Sus scrofa: one gene and its partners. The protein of the gene in region 1 purifies or fractionates together with the protein of each later gene. This does not show direct contact. Links are inferred from orthologs where the notes say so. Each region holds a gene or a part of one and is shown in the gene's direction. Other genes may lie near its edges.

Region 1 (5,354 bases):
CCAGGGTCTGCTCGTACTGCAGCGCCCGCGGCTCCATCCCGTCCTCTGTGGCCGCCGCCGCCGCCGCCGAGGCCGCCATCTCCGCTCACAGCCTTCTGGCCTCCCGCTGCGGCTCGGGGTCTGAACTGGACTCGCCTCCCAGCCCGCGGAGCCCGCGCCCACTCGCGTCCCGTCCCGTCCCCGCAGCCGGGGCGCCGAGTGCAGAGTGCGGCGGGCCCCGGGCGGGCGCCGCCGGCGCAGCCTCCCGCTCGCGTCCCCTCCTCGGCGGGCGGGCCGAGGGCGGTGCCCTCCGTGCTGCTCCGCCCGCCGGCCCATCCACCGGAGCCGGCCCAGCCCGGCTGGGGTCCGCGTTGGGGCCGCCTCCCGGGCTCCGGAGAGGCGGCAGGGGGCGCTTGCAACGCGCAAGCCCGCGTCCCCTCTCCGCGGAGGCGGGTGGCTGAGAGGGGCGTCCGGGCCTGGGTGGGGGCGGGTCCGCTGGCACGTGGAGGGGCTGGGCAGTGTCTGCGGCTCCCCGCGTCCGGCCGGGGGCGGCTACCGAGGTCGGCGCTCAGTAGGACCTGGGGCTGCAGGCTGCTGAACCGTCTAAAGCCGACTTTCGGGCCCAATCTCTCTCGAGAGAGCGGTGCCCTCACTTGCTTTGCTGAAGGAGCCAACGGCTCAGACCGGCCTGGCAAGGCCCCTCTGCTCCGTGGGGGGTGAGAAACAGAACTGGGGAGACTCGGAGGGGGACGCTAGGCCCAGAAGAGGGGTGCTTGGAACTGGAAACTTCGGTTTCTCTCATCCCCCTTCCTTTCTTTGCGACTGTCCCGGGGAGGTGCACCTGGAGCTAGCTGGCCTGAGGCTTGTGCGTGGGTGGAGCCGGAGGGAAGGGAGGTCTAGGTGCTGGGGAGGCCGCTCCTGGGAGGCGGGCGTGGGGGGACAGAGGTCGCTTCTCCTTGGCAGGGCTGAAGAAGAAACCCGAGTAGCTGCTGACGTCTAGCTGCCAAGGGGGAACAGCCTGCTGGGGCTCTGCGTTCTCTATCAGGCTCCGGAGAAGAAAAGTGCAAAGGGTGGGGTGAACAAGTGTGGGGTGAACACAGTCAGAGATAGAGTCAGGGGACAGGCCAGTGCCCAGGAAAACAGGCATTGTGCAGGAGGAGGCAGTACCAGGGTGAAGGGGCAGGTGGGAGGCAGAGGGGGTTCCCAGGAGGGAGTGCCCAGGAAGGGGACAGTGTGAGAACCAGCACCCTAGAGGAACGGGCAGTGTAAAGGAAGAGGTGGTATCCATAGGAGAGGACAATGCCGGGATGAAGGAGCACTTAGGAGAACGTGTCCAGAAGGTGAGCGCAGTGGTGGAGGAAAGGCCAGAACCGAGCCGAAGGGGCAGTACTGAGGAGAGCAGTGTGATGGGGTTAATACCATGCTGAAGGGGCGGTGCGAGGTAAGAAATCAGGGGTGGGGAGGGTGCAGTACCAGAGGAGGAGACAGTGCAGACTTCCCTCTTCCCCATGGTGACATCATGGCAAATTCCCAAAGTGGATATCACCGGGTCGGGTGACATCCAGCTGGGCCCAGCCGGCCTGGGCCAGCCCGGGATTCCTCAGTGCCAGCTAGAAGGACTGGGTACGGCACCCTACTTGGCCATCGCCCTGGGGGCGTGGTTCTGCTCCGCTAGCCCTTTGCGCGGACTGTGCCCTCGGCAGACCCGCGGACCGACAGGGTAGGGCTAGGGCCAGGATTCTCTGGGCCAAGGATCAAGGTCCCTGGCTGGGGTAGGCCCCCAAGCACTCCAGTCTTCCTAACCCGGCATCTGAAGAGGGCGCACTAGAGCCTCCGGAGAGAGCGGGACACCAAGCCACCCCCGGCTGGAGGTGGGACCTATCGTGTTCCCGCCCTGGGAGGAGTTATCTGGACGTGAGACCGCCCTAAACACTGAAGCCTCTCGGAAGCAATCGTTCGGGGCGGAAGTTAAGAAGCCCCGAGAGCTAGGCGGCGGAAGTAGCTGCGTTACTGCTGGTCTGTGCGCATGCGTCCTTCTATTTCTTTGCTGCCGCTCTTCAGGCGCTGCATTTTCCTCTCTCATTTTTCTCCACGCGGGGCCGTGCCCTGCTCCGTAGTCTTCGTCACGCGCTCAGCACCTCTGCTTCTCTCGTGGCCCCCTCACCATGGCGGGCATTCTGTTCGAGGATATTTTTGATGTGAAAGACATTGACCCAGAGGGCAAGAAGTTTGACCGAGGTGAGTAAGGTTTGTAGGGGCGGTTTGGGAGAAGCGGCTGATCTCAGGGACACGCCCCTGGGCCTCTTGTCCACACATTTCATGTGGTCTTCCCCTACCGGCAGGTCCTGACCTAGGGGCCTCTCTCAGGAAACGTTTTATAGATGAGAAAACGGAGACTTCGAGCTCTCCCTCGCTTCACACATGCTGTGCCCGGTGCCTGGGTGACCTTTCTTCATGGTGCTGGTAACCTCCTTGGCATCTTTTTAATCGCTGCCCACTCTGCTAGGCGCTGTGCTGTGCACTTTACACACATTGCCTTACTTATTCCTTTCGAGAGTCTCCACGAGGTAGGTGGTGTCTTACCCATCTTCTGAGAGGCTGAGCAACCCACCCAAGGCTGTACAGCAAATAATCCGACCTCAGGGCCTGTTGCCCTCAGAGTCTTAGCTCTTTGTGAAATCCTCTCTAAGAGTTGACTGCTTGGTATACACCTCCTTGTTCTGACGTTGATCAAGAATTATTTGTCCTTGGTGTCTCTTCCTTTGCTTAGAGACTGAGATATTCTTCAGAACAAACAGCAGGTGTTTGTTTGTTTGTTTGATTTTGTCTTTTTAGGGCCAGACGTAAGGACATATGGAGGTTCTCAGGCTAAGGGTCGAGTCAGAGCTACAGCTGCAGGCCCCACACCACAGCCACAGCAACGCCAGATCCAAGCCCCGTCTGAGACTTATACCACAGCTCACAGCAACACCAGATCCTTAATCCCCTGAGCTGATCCTTAACCCACAGAGTGAGGCCAGGGATTGAACCCCCATCCTCATGGATACTAATCAGGTTTGTTACCACTGAGCCACGGACAAGACCTCCCCAAACAGCAGTTCTTAATAATCTCCTTAGCACAGCGCCTGGCACGGAAAGGCAAAACCTTTGGATGACTGACTTGCCCCAGAGCAGGTTGTTTCTTAGTCACCCATGCAGGCCTAGAACGTGATATTATTTGTTGCCAGAGGACCTTTGATTCTTTTCTGGGCATTCTGTCCACCAGCCATAGTTTTCTGCCTCTTTGCTTGTATATGTGGTTCTTATTGAGCCTGTACTTCTATGAGAGCAGATGAGAGGCCATTGGATACAGATTAAGTATTCTGTGCATACAGTTTCTCAAAGTGGGGTCTGCCCTGCCCTTGAGGGTCTACTTGGCCAGGCAGTTACCTCTGCTGCTCTTTTTCTGTTTCCCTCCAGTGTCTCGACTGCATTGTGAGAGTGAATCTTTCAAGATGGACCTCATCTTAGATGTAAACATTCAGATTTATCCTGTTGACCTGGGTAAGTGTTGAACACAAACAATAACAGCAAGTGTTTTTGCATTTCAGACTCTGATATTGCTGTTATTTTCAGGTGACAAGTTCCGGTTGGTGATAGCCAGTACTTTGTATGAAGATGGTACTCTGGATGATGGTGAATACAACCCCACAGATGATAGGCCTTCCAGGTGAGGAAGTACTTGAAATATGCCTGAGGACTAAATAGATAAGTAGTACAGAAAGACCCTTAGTTACTTCATAGAATAAATGTTTATGAACAGAATCTATGTAAACTTAAGGAAATTGCCGCACTTAATTCAAACAGGAGTTCCTGTTGTGCCTCAGTGGTAATGAACCTAACTAGCATCCATGAGGATGCAGCTTCCATCCCTGGCCCTGCTCAGTGGGTTAAGGATCCGGCGTTGCTGTGAGCTGTGGTGTAGGTTGCAGACATAGCTTAGATCTGGTGTTGCTGTGGCTGTGGTGTAGACGTGTAGCTGCAACTCCGATTCTACCCCTAGCCTTGGAACTTCTATATGCCTTGAGTGCGGCCCTTAAAAAAAAAAAAAGACAACAACGAAGGATACAAACAATGAGTTCTCTGGGAGCTCAGCAGGTTAAGGATCTGCTGTGGCTCGGGTTGCTGCTGTGGCCTGGGTTTGATCCCTGGCCTGGGAACTTCCTTGTGCTGTGGGTGTGGCCCCCCCAAAAAAATAAATAAAAGGGAGAGTTCAGACATCCAGGTGTTTATCCAGAGCAGTGATTACAGCATGAGTTGCAGCTTTTTGGGGGAAGGGGGGCATGCCCACAGCATGCAGAAGGTCCTGGGGCCAGGGATCGAACCTCTGCCACAGCAGTGACATTTCCAGATCCTTAATCATTAGGCCACCAGGAAACCTCGAGTTGTAGCTTTTTGATGGCTGAGGAAATGACCACTGAATGACGTAGGCTGTGTAAGTCTTGTGTCTCAGGAGGGAATTTTGTGTGAGGAAAGGCTTTAGAGCCCCACTCAGTTCACATCTCATCTCTATCACTTATTTGTTGAATAACATTTGACTTCCTTCAACCTTAGTTTCTTCATCAGTGAAATACCTACAGTTATACCTCGCTCACAGGGTTGCTGTCGGGACTAAATGATGTGATGTTTGGAAAGTGCCTGTTGTTATGATGTTGGCACTTAGTTATCAGTTACCATTTTTAAAGGGTCTCTTATTATTGTTGACTGTGTATAACAATAACTGCCACTATTGTTCCACAGGGCTGACCAATTTGAGTATGTAATGTATGGGAAAGTGTACAGGATTGAGGGAGATGAAACTTCTACTGAGGCAGCAACACGCCTGTAAGTTCCATGGTCTTGTGAGAATCTTCTCCCCCTTCCCTTTTGTGAGAATCTGGACTATGCTCTGAAAATTTGGGCCAGGCTCAGGCTTCTTGGGTCTCTCTCCCCAAGCACCTTAGACCTAAGCAGGACCTGGAAAGAAGCTGTTCTGGGAACAGTTTTCAGTGTGGAATATAAATGCCCTCTGTGAGGACCTCAGGGCCTGGTGGTCCAAATGAGAAGCTGGTAATCTTGCTGTGTGAAAATGCAAAGAAAGATTACTTCTCTAAGAACTAAATGCAGCACAAGTGATTAAACTGCTAGGCTTCTGTGTGTGTGTGTGTATGTTTTGCCACTCTGCAATCCAATCTCTAGTAGTTCTTTGGTTTTTCTGCCCAACTATTTTTTCTCTTCTTTAAAATCTTATTAAAACAATATGTGCCCTTTGTAAGAAATTTGAAAAGCATAGGAGTAATGTGAAAGGAAAGGAAAAAAGTCACCTATAATTCTATACCCAGAAGGAATTTTTTACA
Region 2 (5,418 bases), on another chromosome or scaffold:
TTATTCTGTTTAGCCACTGAAATTTTTTTTTTTCCTTTTTTTTTTTTCAGTGCTGCAGCCTCAGGATGTGGAAGTTCCTAGACTTGGGGTCGAGTTGGAGCTACAGCTACTGGCCTACATCACAGTCACAGCAACGTAGGATCTGAGCCACATCTGTGACCTACAACACAGCTCATGGCAATGCTGGATCCCCGACCCACTGAACAAGACCAGGGATTGAACCTGAATCTTCATGGATACTAGTTGGATTGCTTCCATTGCTCCACAACAGGAACTCCCTCTTTTTTTCTTTTTCTTCCACCCACAGCATATGGAAGTTCCTGGACCAGGGATCGAACCCGTACTTCCAAGGAACTGCAGTTGGATTCTCAACCCACCGCACCATGGTGGGAACTCCAAGCCACTGAAATTTTGAGGTTTACCTGTTATTGCTAAGATTATTTACCTTAATATTCTAACTTCCAAATCACCAAGGAAATAGTAAAAGATTTTTTCCAGGAAAACAAACACTAGCTATAAACTCTAAATAGTTAAAGGTCCCTACTTAATAGGTTCTTTTGGAGTTCCTGTCATGGCACAGTGGAAACGAATCTGACTAGTACCCATGAGGATCCGGGTTCAATCCCTGGCCTCGCTCAGTGGGTCAGGGATCTGCCATTGCCTTGAGCTGTGGTGTAGATCTGAGACAGAGCTTGGATCCCACGTTGCTATGGCTGTGGCATAGGCTGTAGCTCTGATCTGACCCTAGCCTGGGAACCTCCATACCCCGCAGGTTCGCCCCCCTGCCCCCCAAATGGATCTTTTGAAGCACCACAGCTATACATGAGCTACTTAATAACACTGGGAAAGAACGGCGGAAGTACGAAAAAGTAAACAAGGGAAGGAGAATAAAAGTAAGGAAGTAAGTTCTGTCAAAAGTCAAGACTCATTCTGGGACCTGGAAAAAAAAAAAGACAAAAACTCAGGAAGGCCCTCCTTCCTCGTAACACAGATTCAGCTATACAGAAGGGGGCACAGAACTTCATCTTATTTTTCTGAGTGGTCCTTCCACTTCTACTTAGGAAGTACTGCAAGAGAGTTCAGATTGATTTCTTTACAATGAATTTTTTTTACAATTCCATTTCAATAGGCCTAAAACTTTATTCATTTTTACATTCTCAGGATGCAGCACAGTGCCTAGCATACAGTCCTCCCTCTGCAGTTGTTAACTGAATTAAAATGACTGATGGTGCTGCTGCTTTGGCCAGAAGAGTGGTTTCAAGTCCCAGCCACTCACTAGTTGTGTGACCTTGGACAAGTCTCCTAACTACGCCGAGATCAATTTCTTCATCAGTGAAACGAGATTACTACTACTTGCCTTGTTTACCTCACTGATTCCTCAAGAGGCTTTACATAACGAGAGCAGCACTGTAAAACAGTGCAGATGCCTCGTTTGGGTAGGTACGAATTGTGAGACGGAAAGGACCTTGGACTCAGGAGTCAGAAGACCCCGGCAGGCTAACTCGCTGTATTCCCATCTTAAACGTGAAGAGGTTTACACTCGACGACCGCCCAGGCTCTAGATTCTTAATAGCTTAAGTCCGCTACAGGTTGGGAACCTCAGGTGTTCTCAAACAGGTGAACCTCGCATCTCGTAGATGCAACCTAGGACAGGGTGTCAAGGTCGCGGGGTCCTAAGGCGGGGGGTCGCTCACCCAGTCAAAGTCACACGGGTTGCCGTCTTCGCGTTGCGTGGGGAGATTGTAGCAGACAGGGGGCAGCTTCCTCACGAGTAGGAAGGCAGCAGAGAGGAGGGCTGACAGAAGGTAGTAAGGTCGGGCCAGCCATCGTGATAGTCGAGGTATCGAATAAATAAGAGCAATTAAAGGCGCGAGAACCGCCATCTTCCCGGCTCTAGCGGCGCCAGCCGCTCCACGGAGTCCGTGAGCCTGGTCCCGCCTCTCCCATCATTGTGCTTCCATTGGGCCTAGTCTCGGATGCACCGCCTCTAGATCCGGAAGCAGATCTCTGACTGGCTTCTGCGTCAGGTTAAAAATGGAGAAAGGGCTTTGATATTTTATTGGCTAATCTAGCTGTCTTTTTTTCCACCTAAATCGTTTTATTGGACATATGCGACTGCGGCAAGTAGGAGATACAGGAGAATTTAAATAAAGTTAAATAGTACTTCCGGAACGTTCTCAGAAGGCGACGGAAGTAGTTGCAGGAAGAAGGTAGGAAGGGCCCGAGGCAACCCAATGGTGAGAGGCTCCTGAAAGAGGAGGGCGGTACTCTGTGAAAAGATTGACCAATGAACGTCACCAACGCCAGACACCGAGACAGCGCCGGGGCGGAGGAGGCGATGGAGAATTTCACGGCGCTGTTCGGAGCTCAGGCTGACCCACCACCGCCCCCGACCGCACTTGGCTTCGGACCTGGAAAACCTCCACCCCCACCGCCTCCTCCTCCGGGCGGGGGGCCGGGCCCCGCCCCGCCCTCTACCGCGGCCACAGCCGCTCCCGGCTCCGACAAGTCAGCGGCCGGTTGTGGCCCCTTCTACCTAATGCGGGAACTGCCGGGTGAGTACAAGGCCTGGTCAAAGCCAGCCAATCAGATCATAGCGAGGAGAGGCGGGGCGTGGCTCTCAGCCTTCCGACTGGGGTGAGGGGTAACCTAGGCAACGCGTGGCGCGATTTCGGAACACTATACTAGAAGAGGTTCTGAGGATTCACAACCGAAAGAATGATTGGAATTGGGATGGATTAGGGGTGGGAAGAGAGTGGATCTCCCTGACCACCTTTCACGCCCGATCCTGCCCCTGACGCTGGTTTTTGACTCCCTAAAGATTATCCTAGCTTTGAGTTTGGTATTTGAGGGTCCTGATTTAACATCCCTGCGGACCCAGTTCCAGATCTGCTTCAAACTTCCTGTTGGTTTGGGACATGTTGTCTTTCTTCCTCTGGGCCTCGGGGTTTCAAAATGTGTTCGAAGAAGTGATTAGAATTAAACCAGGTTCTTTCATTCAAAAAATTATTTTGTTGCGCACCCACTCTGTGTACCAAGCACTCTTCCAATTGCTGAAGATACAGCTGTGAACAAAACTGACAAGATCCTTGCCTGTTTGGGAGTTTACCTGCCAGTGGAGGAGTCAAAGAGTGATAAACAGATATCTGCGGATAAACAGATAGTATCAGATAGTGGTTATGGCTACAAGGGGGAAATGTGATAAAGAATTGAGGGGGCAGAACTGCTTTAGCTAGAGTGATCAGGAGAGCCCTTTCTGAGTAGATAACATTAGAGCTAAAATATAAGCACAAAGGAAGAGCTAGCCATTTATGAGTGGGAGGAGAGAGAACTCTAGATACAAAAAATGAGATTAGAAGGCCCAATGTGAGAATAACCTTGAATATTTGAGGGACAGAAAACCACTTGCACTCCGGGGAAGTGAACAGGGAAAGAGCGATAGGAGATGAAGGTGGGAGAGTAGGCAGAGGCCTCTATAAGACATTTTAAGTTCAGGGGGAACCATTTTGACACAAGAGTCTGAAGTGATCTAACTTCTAACTTATTTGCTTATTTTCAATCATTCGAGCAGCTCTATTAAGGAAGCAAAGTGGGGGAGTTCCCGTCATAGCACAGCAGAAATGAATCCGACTAGGAAGCATGAGGTTGTGGGTTTGATCCCTAGCCTCACTCAGTGGGTTAAGGATCCAGTGTTGTCCTGTGCTGTGGTGTAGGTTGCAGACGCAGCACAGCTCTAGCATTGCTGTGGCTCTGGTGTAGGCCGGCACCTGTAGCTCTGATTTGACCCTTAGCCTGGGAACCTCCATATGCCTTGGGTGCTGCCCTTAAAAAAAAAGAAGAAAAGTGGGAAAATTGGTCAGAAGTTACAGCTTAGTAGTTCAGGAAAGAGATGATAGTTTGAACTAGGAAATAGCAGTAGAGGAGAGAAGTAAATGGATGCCAAATAAATGTTAGAGGTAGAACTGACAGGAATGCAGGATTGAAAATAGAATTGAAGGACAGAGGAATTGAGGGCAGTTTGGAAATGTTTGGCTTGAATAATTAGGTGGATGGTAGTGCTAAGATCAGGAAAGGACAGGTTTGAGGAGATGGATATCAAGTCATTTTGGACATGTTAAGTCTCCAGGATGACATTTAGTTCATCCCAAGTCCTACTGCTACATCAAGAGCTGAAGGAGGGGAGTTCCTGTCACGGCTCAGAGGAAACGAATCTGACTGGTATCCATGAGGACACAGGTTCGATCCCTGGCCTTGCTCAATGGGTTAAGGATCCGGCGTTGCTGTGGCTGTGATTGTAGGCCAGTGGCTACAGCTCCCATTCAACCCCTAGCCTAGGAACTTACATATGCCACAAATGCAGCCCTAAGAGAGTAAAGATTTAAAAAAAAAAAAAAAAAGAGCTGAAGAAGGAGTTCCTACTGTGGCCTAGCCAGTTAAGGATCTGGCATTGCCACAGCTGTAGCAATAGGTTGCAGCTTCGGCTTGGATTCGATTCCTGGCCTTAGAACTTCCTTGTACCATGGGTATGGCCCAAAAATATCTGAGGGAAATGATTTGTTACAGACCTTGAAATTCACAGTGCAGTTAGATATGTTTTAGTGTTTAATACTTACAATAGCCCCTTGAAATAGGCATTGTTATCTGCTTTTTAAAGCTGAAAAACTAAAGCATAGAGAGGTTGACTTGACTTTAGTTAGTGATTGATGTCTACCAGCAGTTTATTTAACCTTAACTTATTTTGATTGTACCTATTTACATTAATCACTTGAATATCTGTTCTGGGCAAATCCTGGGTATAAAGGAGACATATGATGAGAAGAGGAGAGAGATGAGTAAGCCTGGTCCTTGTATTTTTTTTTTTTTTTTTTTTTGTCTTTTTTTGCTATTTCTTGGGCGGCTCCCACAGCATATGGAGGTTCCCAGGCCAGGAGTCCAATCGGAGCTGTAGCCAGAGCCACAGCAACGCAGGATCCGAGCCGCATCTGCAACCTACACCACAGCTCACGGCAATGCCAGATCGTTAACCCACTGAGCAAGGGCAGGGACCGAACCCGCAACCTCATGGTTCCTAGTCGGATTCGTTAACCACTGCGCCACTACGGGAACTCCTGGTCCTTGTTTTTGAGCAAATAATTTTACCTAAGACTTCAAAGTGTATGGTTTAAGAATAAAGTAGTGATTATTCTTTCTTTCTTTCTTTCTTTCTTTTTTTTTTTGTCTTTTGTCCTTTTAGGGCTGCATCGGAGGCATGTGGAGGTTCCCAGGCTAGGGCTCTAATCAGACCTGTTGCTGCTGGCCTAGGCCAGAGCCACAGCAATGCCATATCTGAGCCACATCTTCGACCTACACTACAGCTCATGGCAGTGCCGGATCCTTAACCCACTGAGCAAGGCCAAGGATCAAACCCTCAACCTCGTG
Region 3 (5,331 bases), on another chromosome or scaffold:
TGGGAACAAGAGGAATTCCTCTGTCAAGTTTTGACTTTTATACTTTACCAACTATTTAAAACAGGGCCTCTCTGCTTTATTATTCTAGTCCCTCAACAGAAATGAGTCTTAAGATGAATCCTTAAAAAGACAAATAATTTTGGTCATTGATTTTTTTTTTCTGCTTTTTTTTTTAGGGCCGCACCCTCGGCATATGGAGGTTCCCAGGCTAGGGGTCAAATCAGAACTACAGCTGCCGGCCCACACCACAGCCACAGCAATGCAGAATCCAAGCCACGTCTTCGACCTACACCACGGCTCACGGCAATGCCAGATCCTTAACCCACTGAGTGAGGCCAGGGATTGAACCTGCAAACTCATGGTTCCTAGTAGGATTCTTTTCCACTGTACCATGATGGGAATTCCTAGGTCACTGATTCTGAAACAAAATTGGCACTCAGAAAAAACAAAATAAAACAAAATGAAACCCTACTGCCTAACTCCTAGCCTGACATCATGGAAGGAAGGAATGAATGAATAAATACACGTATGTATAACTTAAATTTATCATCGGTACTTTTTTTTTTTCAAAAAATACCACTAAAATATGATACTATAGCAAGTACTTTCATTGATTACTTACATACTTCTGTTTATGACAAGCTCTTTATTAAGCCTTTTCTTAATCAACACAGATTATTAAAAATATGCAGACCTGGACTAGTATCCACAAGGATGTAGGTGCAATCCCTGGCATTGCTCAGGGGATTAAGGATCTGGTGTTGCCGTGAACTGTGGTGCAGGTCGCAGGACTACCTTGGATCTGGCATTGGTGTGGCTGTGGTGTAGGCTGGCAGCTACAGCTCCAATTCGACCCCTTGCCTGAGAACTTCCAAATGCCAAGGTGCAGCCCTTCAAAAAAAAAAGAGACATAGCTACTATTTTGGTATGATCTCAGGCCCAACTCATGAATTGGACTAATATCTGCGCTGAGTGTAGATTTTGAAAGCATTTGAGAGGTTCAAATACTAAAATATTAGAAAATTGGGAAAAAATCATTTAACAAAATAAGCCCCTCTAAGGAAAGTCGGTTCATGCCTTTTCATACCCACAGGTGAGAGAAACCGCAGTATATTTAAAAATGGTTAACATTCTCCTTACCCTGATTTCTACATTCCTCGATTTCAAGTTAAAGCGTATCTGAAGTCCCAAATGCTCCACAATAGGAGTAAATATCTTCATCCAATTCTCTTTTAACGGCGTGTACCTGTTAGCAGGAACTGGAATTTTCCTAGTTTCTTCTTTCCCACTCTACAATAAAAGAAAACACAACTCAGGAGTCGTCGGATGGGCGGAGTTGTAAACTGACAGCTGATCCACAAAGAGCATCCTTCAACTGAACGAATTAAACATCAGGAGAGTCCTTCTCTAAAACCTTCACGCCATAAAAAGCTTCTACATCACCCTAAAGCCACAGGGTCCCCAGGCCTCTGCTTTGCCCCGTTCCTGTTCGTGAGTGCCCGCCAGTACCAAGAACCCGTCCCCGGAGAGGGGAGGGAAGATGGGCCTCTTCGCCGGCCGAGCCTCTTCCGTGTCCATGTGGCTCGCGCCCCCTCCTTCCTCCGTCGCAGACAGCTGCTCAGCCTGCCGTTTCTTCGCCCTTCGGCTACCCTTGCGGGTGACCTGGGTGAAGCCGTCCTCGGCTAAGGGGCTCTGAGCCTCCATCTGGGTTTCCATCCTCAGGACTCTCCAGCCCCAGCGGGAGCTTCCGGCTTGAACACGTGCGGGGCTGTACCGCGCAGATGCGTCTCGCAGGACCCCAGTCTCCACCAACCAGCCCCAGGGCTCCGCCCTCTTTCCTAAGACGTCCACGCAAGGGACCTGAAGCAAGATTTTGTGTGTGTTTATTGGGAGGGGAAAGGGCTGTCCTAAAATATGCCTGATTCTTATGGTCGCCCTCTGCCCACGCCAACTAGCAGCCAGAACATTTAGTTATCTCTAATATATACTAAAGGTTTTAAGTAAAGGCTACAAACAAGCTTGTGTTGTCGGTGAGGGAAAAAAGTCTTGTGTCTTCGGTTGCTCATCCGGCATTATCAAAGACATCTAAACCCAATTTCCAAGGGCGACAGGGGCGCTTACGGCAAACGGGAGGGACCAACTGTTCTTAACGTTTGGTTTCCGGTTTCCAGGTTAGCGTTTTGTCATGGTTTGTTGGGGGTGTGCCTGTGGCCTAGGCGGAATCCAACAGGTGGACCATGTCGGCCTTTGAGAAGCCTCAGATCATCGCCCATATACAGAAGAGCCTCAACTACACGGTATTCGACTGTAAGTGGGTGCCCTGCAGCGCCAAGTTTGTGACCATGGGCAACTTCGCGCGGGGCACCGGCGTCATTCAGCTGTACGAGATCCAGCACGGGGACCTAAAGCTGCTTCGGGAGGTGGGTACCCGGTCGAGACTGCCCAGTGCCAAGATCTGGGCCTGCTCTTGGGGGGCGAGTGTGTATCTTGGGCAGGGGTGGTGTGGGTGGTCTGCATTTTTTTTTTTTTTTTTTTTTTGCCAAATCCTATGTCCAGCGTCCCCCCAAAGCACTTTTCTAGTTGCGTGGGAGTAGCGAAGCTTGAACGCAGATTGAGGAATACTTGCGATGTACAATACTTTGGTTCTAGTTCTGAATTCTTGGCGGGCTAGTTCATTCGCGCCTTGTCGGTCCTTTCCTCCAGCCACCCCAACCACCCTCCCAGTCCAGCGAGAGGTCCTTGGGGATGACATTCCGTCTTCGTGTTTAAATTTGGGGCCCTTTGGGGCAGGGCACACTTATTTGTGCAGAGCCTGTTAATAGGTTCAAATTAGTAAAATGCTTTTTCATACAAACGGTCAAAGTGGACACCAGGATGCCTGCTATGTAATTGGAGGAAGCAACCAAACATAGCTATTCTTTCAGCAAGTATCAGTTGATTGCCTGGTATTCCCAGGCATGTAAATGACAATGTCCTGGATATCATGGAGTTTATTTTCTAGTAAGAGAGAGAATCAGTTAAATAATCAAACCAACGCTACATAAATACAAATCTAAAGAAAAAAAAAAAAAACAAAGGAAAAAAGATTTGAGTTGAGTAGAAGCTAACAAGGCCCAACTAGGAGTAGTGGAGATTTTCAGAGGAAACAGCCCAGCGATGGGAGAGAGAGTGTCTCCTTTAGAAACAAAAAGAGTAGTAAGCAGGGACGTTGCAAAATCTGTAGGTCACTTACAAAATTTATACTTTTTTTCTAAGAAAAAAATGGGACATCAATGAAGGGCTAATTTAAGTGGGTGTGGCAAGGTCAGATTTACAAGTTTTGTAAAGATTTCTAGTGAAGGAGTTGGAGAATGACAATATTAACTAGCATGTTTATACCTGTTTACAGTTTTTAAAATGCCTTGATTTGGGTTGCATGAAGGAAAAATGATATAGCGTACTCAGACGTTTAGCATTGTTAAAGACGACAGAGAAATCTGTAATTCCAGGGGTCCAAAGCTGTGGAGAGAATCAACATGGAAGAGTTAGAGGTTAAAATGGTAGGCAAAGGATGAGTACAATTTTTATAGGATAGCAGAGATGAGATTTAAGCTTTACATGTTTTAGGAACGCCAGTTTTCTTGCTATGTTTGTCTTTTCTAGCCAGGCGCTCTTCTCCTAAACATGTTCTTTTCCACTTTTCCTTGTGTGGCTCATCACTTAGTCTCCAGTCGCCTGCTATTCTAAGATCCAGTTCAGATTACCTGGTTAATGACATCCACTCCTGATCCACGCAAAAGCAACTTTTCTTTACATCGCATTCCCAACGGTACTTATTAACTGTGCCAGAAATAGATCATTCTGACCCATTTATCTCTAATTAGATTGTAAGCTCCTGGAGAGTAAGGACAGGGTCTGTCTTTAGTATGGCATGTTAAGGAGCAGCCACTCCTAAATCACTTGTTGAAAGAGTAAGTTTATTCTGTAAAAGGATATAACTTGGGACATTTAAATATTGGTTTATTGGTCCTTAATCGATTGGGCCAGAGGTTTGAACAAATAGGAGACATTGGGATTGCAGAAAGAAACTTAAAGGTGAAGTATTAGGAATAAATACCAATCAAAGCTCAACCAGACAGCATTACAGACTTGTGACTTTTTATTTTTATATAAGGCCGTATGACTTGTCTGTCTTTCAGGAAGACACTTGTTCTGTAAAGAGAAAAAGTGCTGTCTCTTCTAAAGATTCTGGAGGATTCTAGCAGGTTGTTCTTTTGTGTGTGTGTGATAATTTTACTTTTTTTTTTTTGTCTTTTCGTCTTTTTAGGGCTGCACCCTCTGCATATGGAGGTTCCCAGGCAAGGGGTCTATTGGGAGCTGTAGCCACCAGCCTACGTCACAGCCACAGCAGCACCAGATCCAAGCCGCTCTGCAACCTACACCATAGCTCACGGCAACGCCAGATCCTTAACCCACCGATGGAGGCCAGGGATTGAACCTGCAACCTCATGGTTCTAGTCACTGCGCCATGACGGGAACTCCATAATTTTACTTTTTAACAAAAGTAATATGTGTCCATGATAAACATACCAAAAATATAGTTTGGGGAAAAAAAAAGTTAATGTCACCCATAACTAGGATTAACCACTTTTTATTTCCACCTTTGTCATTGGCTCTTAGGATTAACCACTTTTTATTTCCACCTTTGTCATTGGCTCTTCTCTTTTTCTACCAGAAAATACCTACTGAGAACCTATCATTTCAAGGTATTATGCTAAAGAAGGGCCAAAACTATTTGAAAGATGAGCCCCTTCTCTTAAAGAACCTATTTTCTAAAGAGAGGATAAAAGCAAGTACACAAATTTCAGAGCTTACATTGTATTTGGCTGTGATGATGCAAGGGAAAAGAATATAGCTAAGGAGTTCCAGCTGCGGCACAGTGGGTTAAGAATCCAACTCTCGAAGCTCAGGTCATAGGTTTGATTCTGGCCCTGTGCAGAGGGTTAAAGGGTCTGCCATTGTCCCAGCTGCTGTGTACGTCCCAGCAATGGCTCAGATTCAACCCCTGGCCCAGGAACTTCCTTACACCAAAGGTGCAGCCATAAAATAAAATTTTTAAAAAGTTTAAAAAGAAGGTAGGTTAAGTACAATCTCCGTGATCCTCAACTCTTACTGTGTGTTGGGATCATCTGAATGTGTATTTTTGCTATTGTTGGGTACATAATGTGTGTGTTTTAAAATATTCATGCCTTGGGCCGCATCCCTAGAAATTGATGCACTGAGATTCTTGCCTCTAGACAAGAGTGAGGCCTGGACATCAGTATTTTTTAAACTTCCACCAGGTGATTCTAA

What was found. The genes of interacting proteins can lie anywhere in the genome.
Region 2: the proteins of POLR2H (region 1) and MED19 purify together in Homo sapiens (affinity purification with mass spectrometry; 3 studies listed by BioGRID and IntAct, with this or other methods). This does not show direct contact. The link is inferred for Sus scrofa from reciprocal best matches to the Homo sapiens genes POLR2H and MED19.
Region 3: the proteins of POLR2H (region 1) and WDR92 purify together in Homo sapiens (affinity purification with mass spectrometry; 3 studies listed by BioGRID and IntAct, with this or other methods). This does not show direct contact. The link is inferred for Sus scrofa from reciprocal best matches to the Homo sapiens genes POLR2H and DNAAF10.

Annotation. Positions count from the first base shown.
Region 1 is NC_010455.5:122,249,611-122,254,964, forward strand, and holds the start of POLR2H (DNA-directed RNA polymerases I, II, and III subunit RPABC3), read left to right. Parts: upstream 1-2,018; 5' UTR 2,019-2,144; coding exon 2,145-2,217; intron 2,218-2,321; exon of another isoform or gene 2,322-2,360; coding exon of another isoform or gene 2,361-2,442; intron 2,443-3,438; coding exon 3,439-3,522; intron 3,523-3,594; coding exon 3,595-3,688; intron 3,689-4,758; coding exon 4,759-4,842; intron 4,843-5,354. UniProt on the Homo sapiens protein: DNA-dependent RNA polymerase catalyzes the transcription of DNA into RNA using the four ribonucleoside triphosphates as substrates.
Region 2 is NC_010444.4:13,239,153-13,244,570, forward strand, and holds the start of MED19 (mediator of RNA polymerase II transcription subunit 19), read left to right. Parts: upstream 1-2,158; 5' UTR 2,159-2,287; coding exon 2,288-2,555; intron 2,556-5,418. Other genes in the region: TMX2 (thioredoxin-related transmembrane protein 2), read right to left, coding at 1,695-1,883. UniProt on the Homo sapiens protein: Component of the Mediator complex, a coactivator involved in the regulated transcription of nearly all RNA polymerase II-dependent genes.
Region 3 is NC_010445.4:74,083,062-74,088,392, forward strand, and holds the start of WDR92 (WD repeat-containing protein 92), read left to right. Parts: upstream 1-2,071; 5' UTR 2,072-2,237; coding exon 2,238-2,420; intron 2,421-5,331. Other genes in the region: RNA-binding protein PNO1, read right to left, coding at 1,141-1,290, 1,510-1,716. UniProt on the Homo sapiens protein: Key assembly factor specifically required for the stability of axonemal dynein heavy chains in cytoplasm.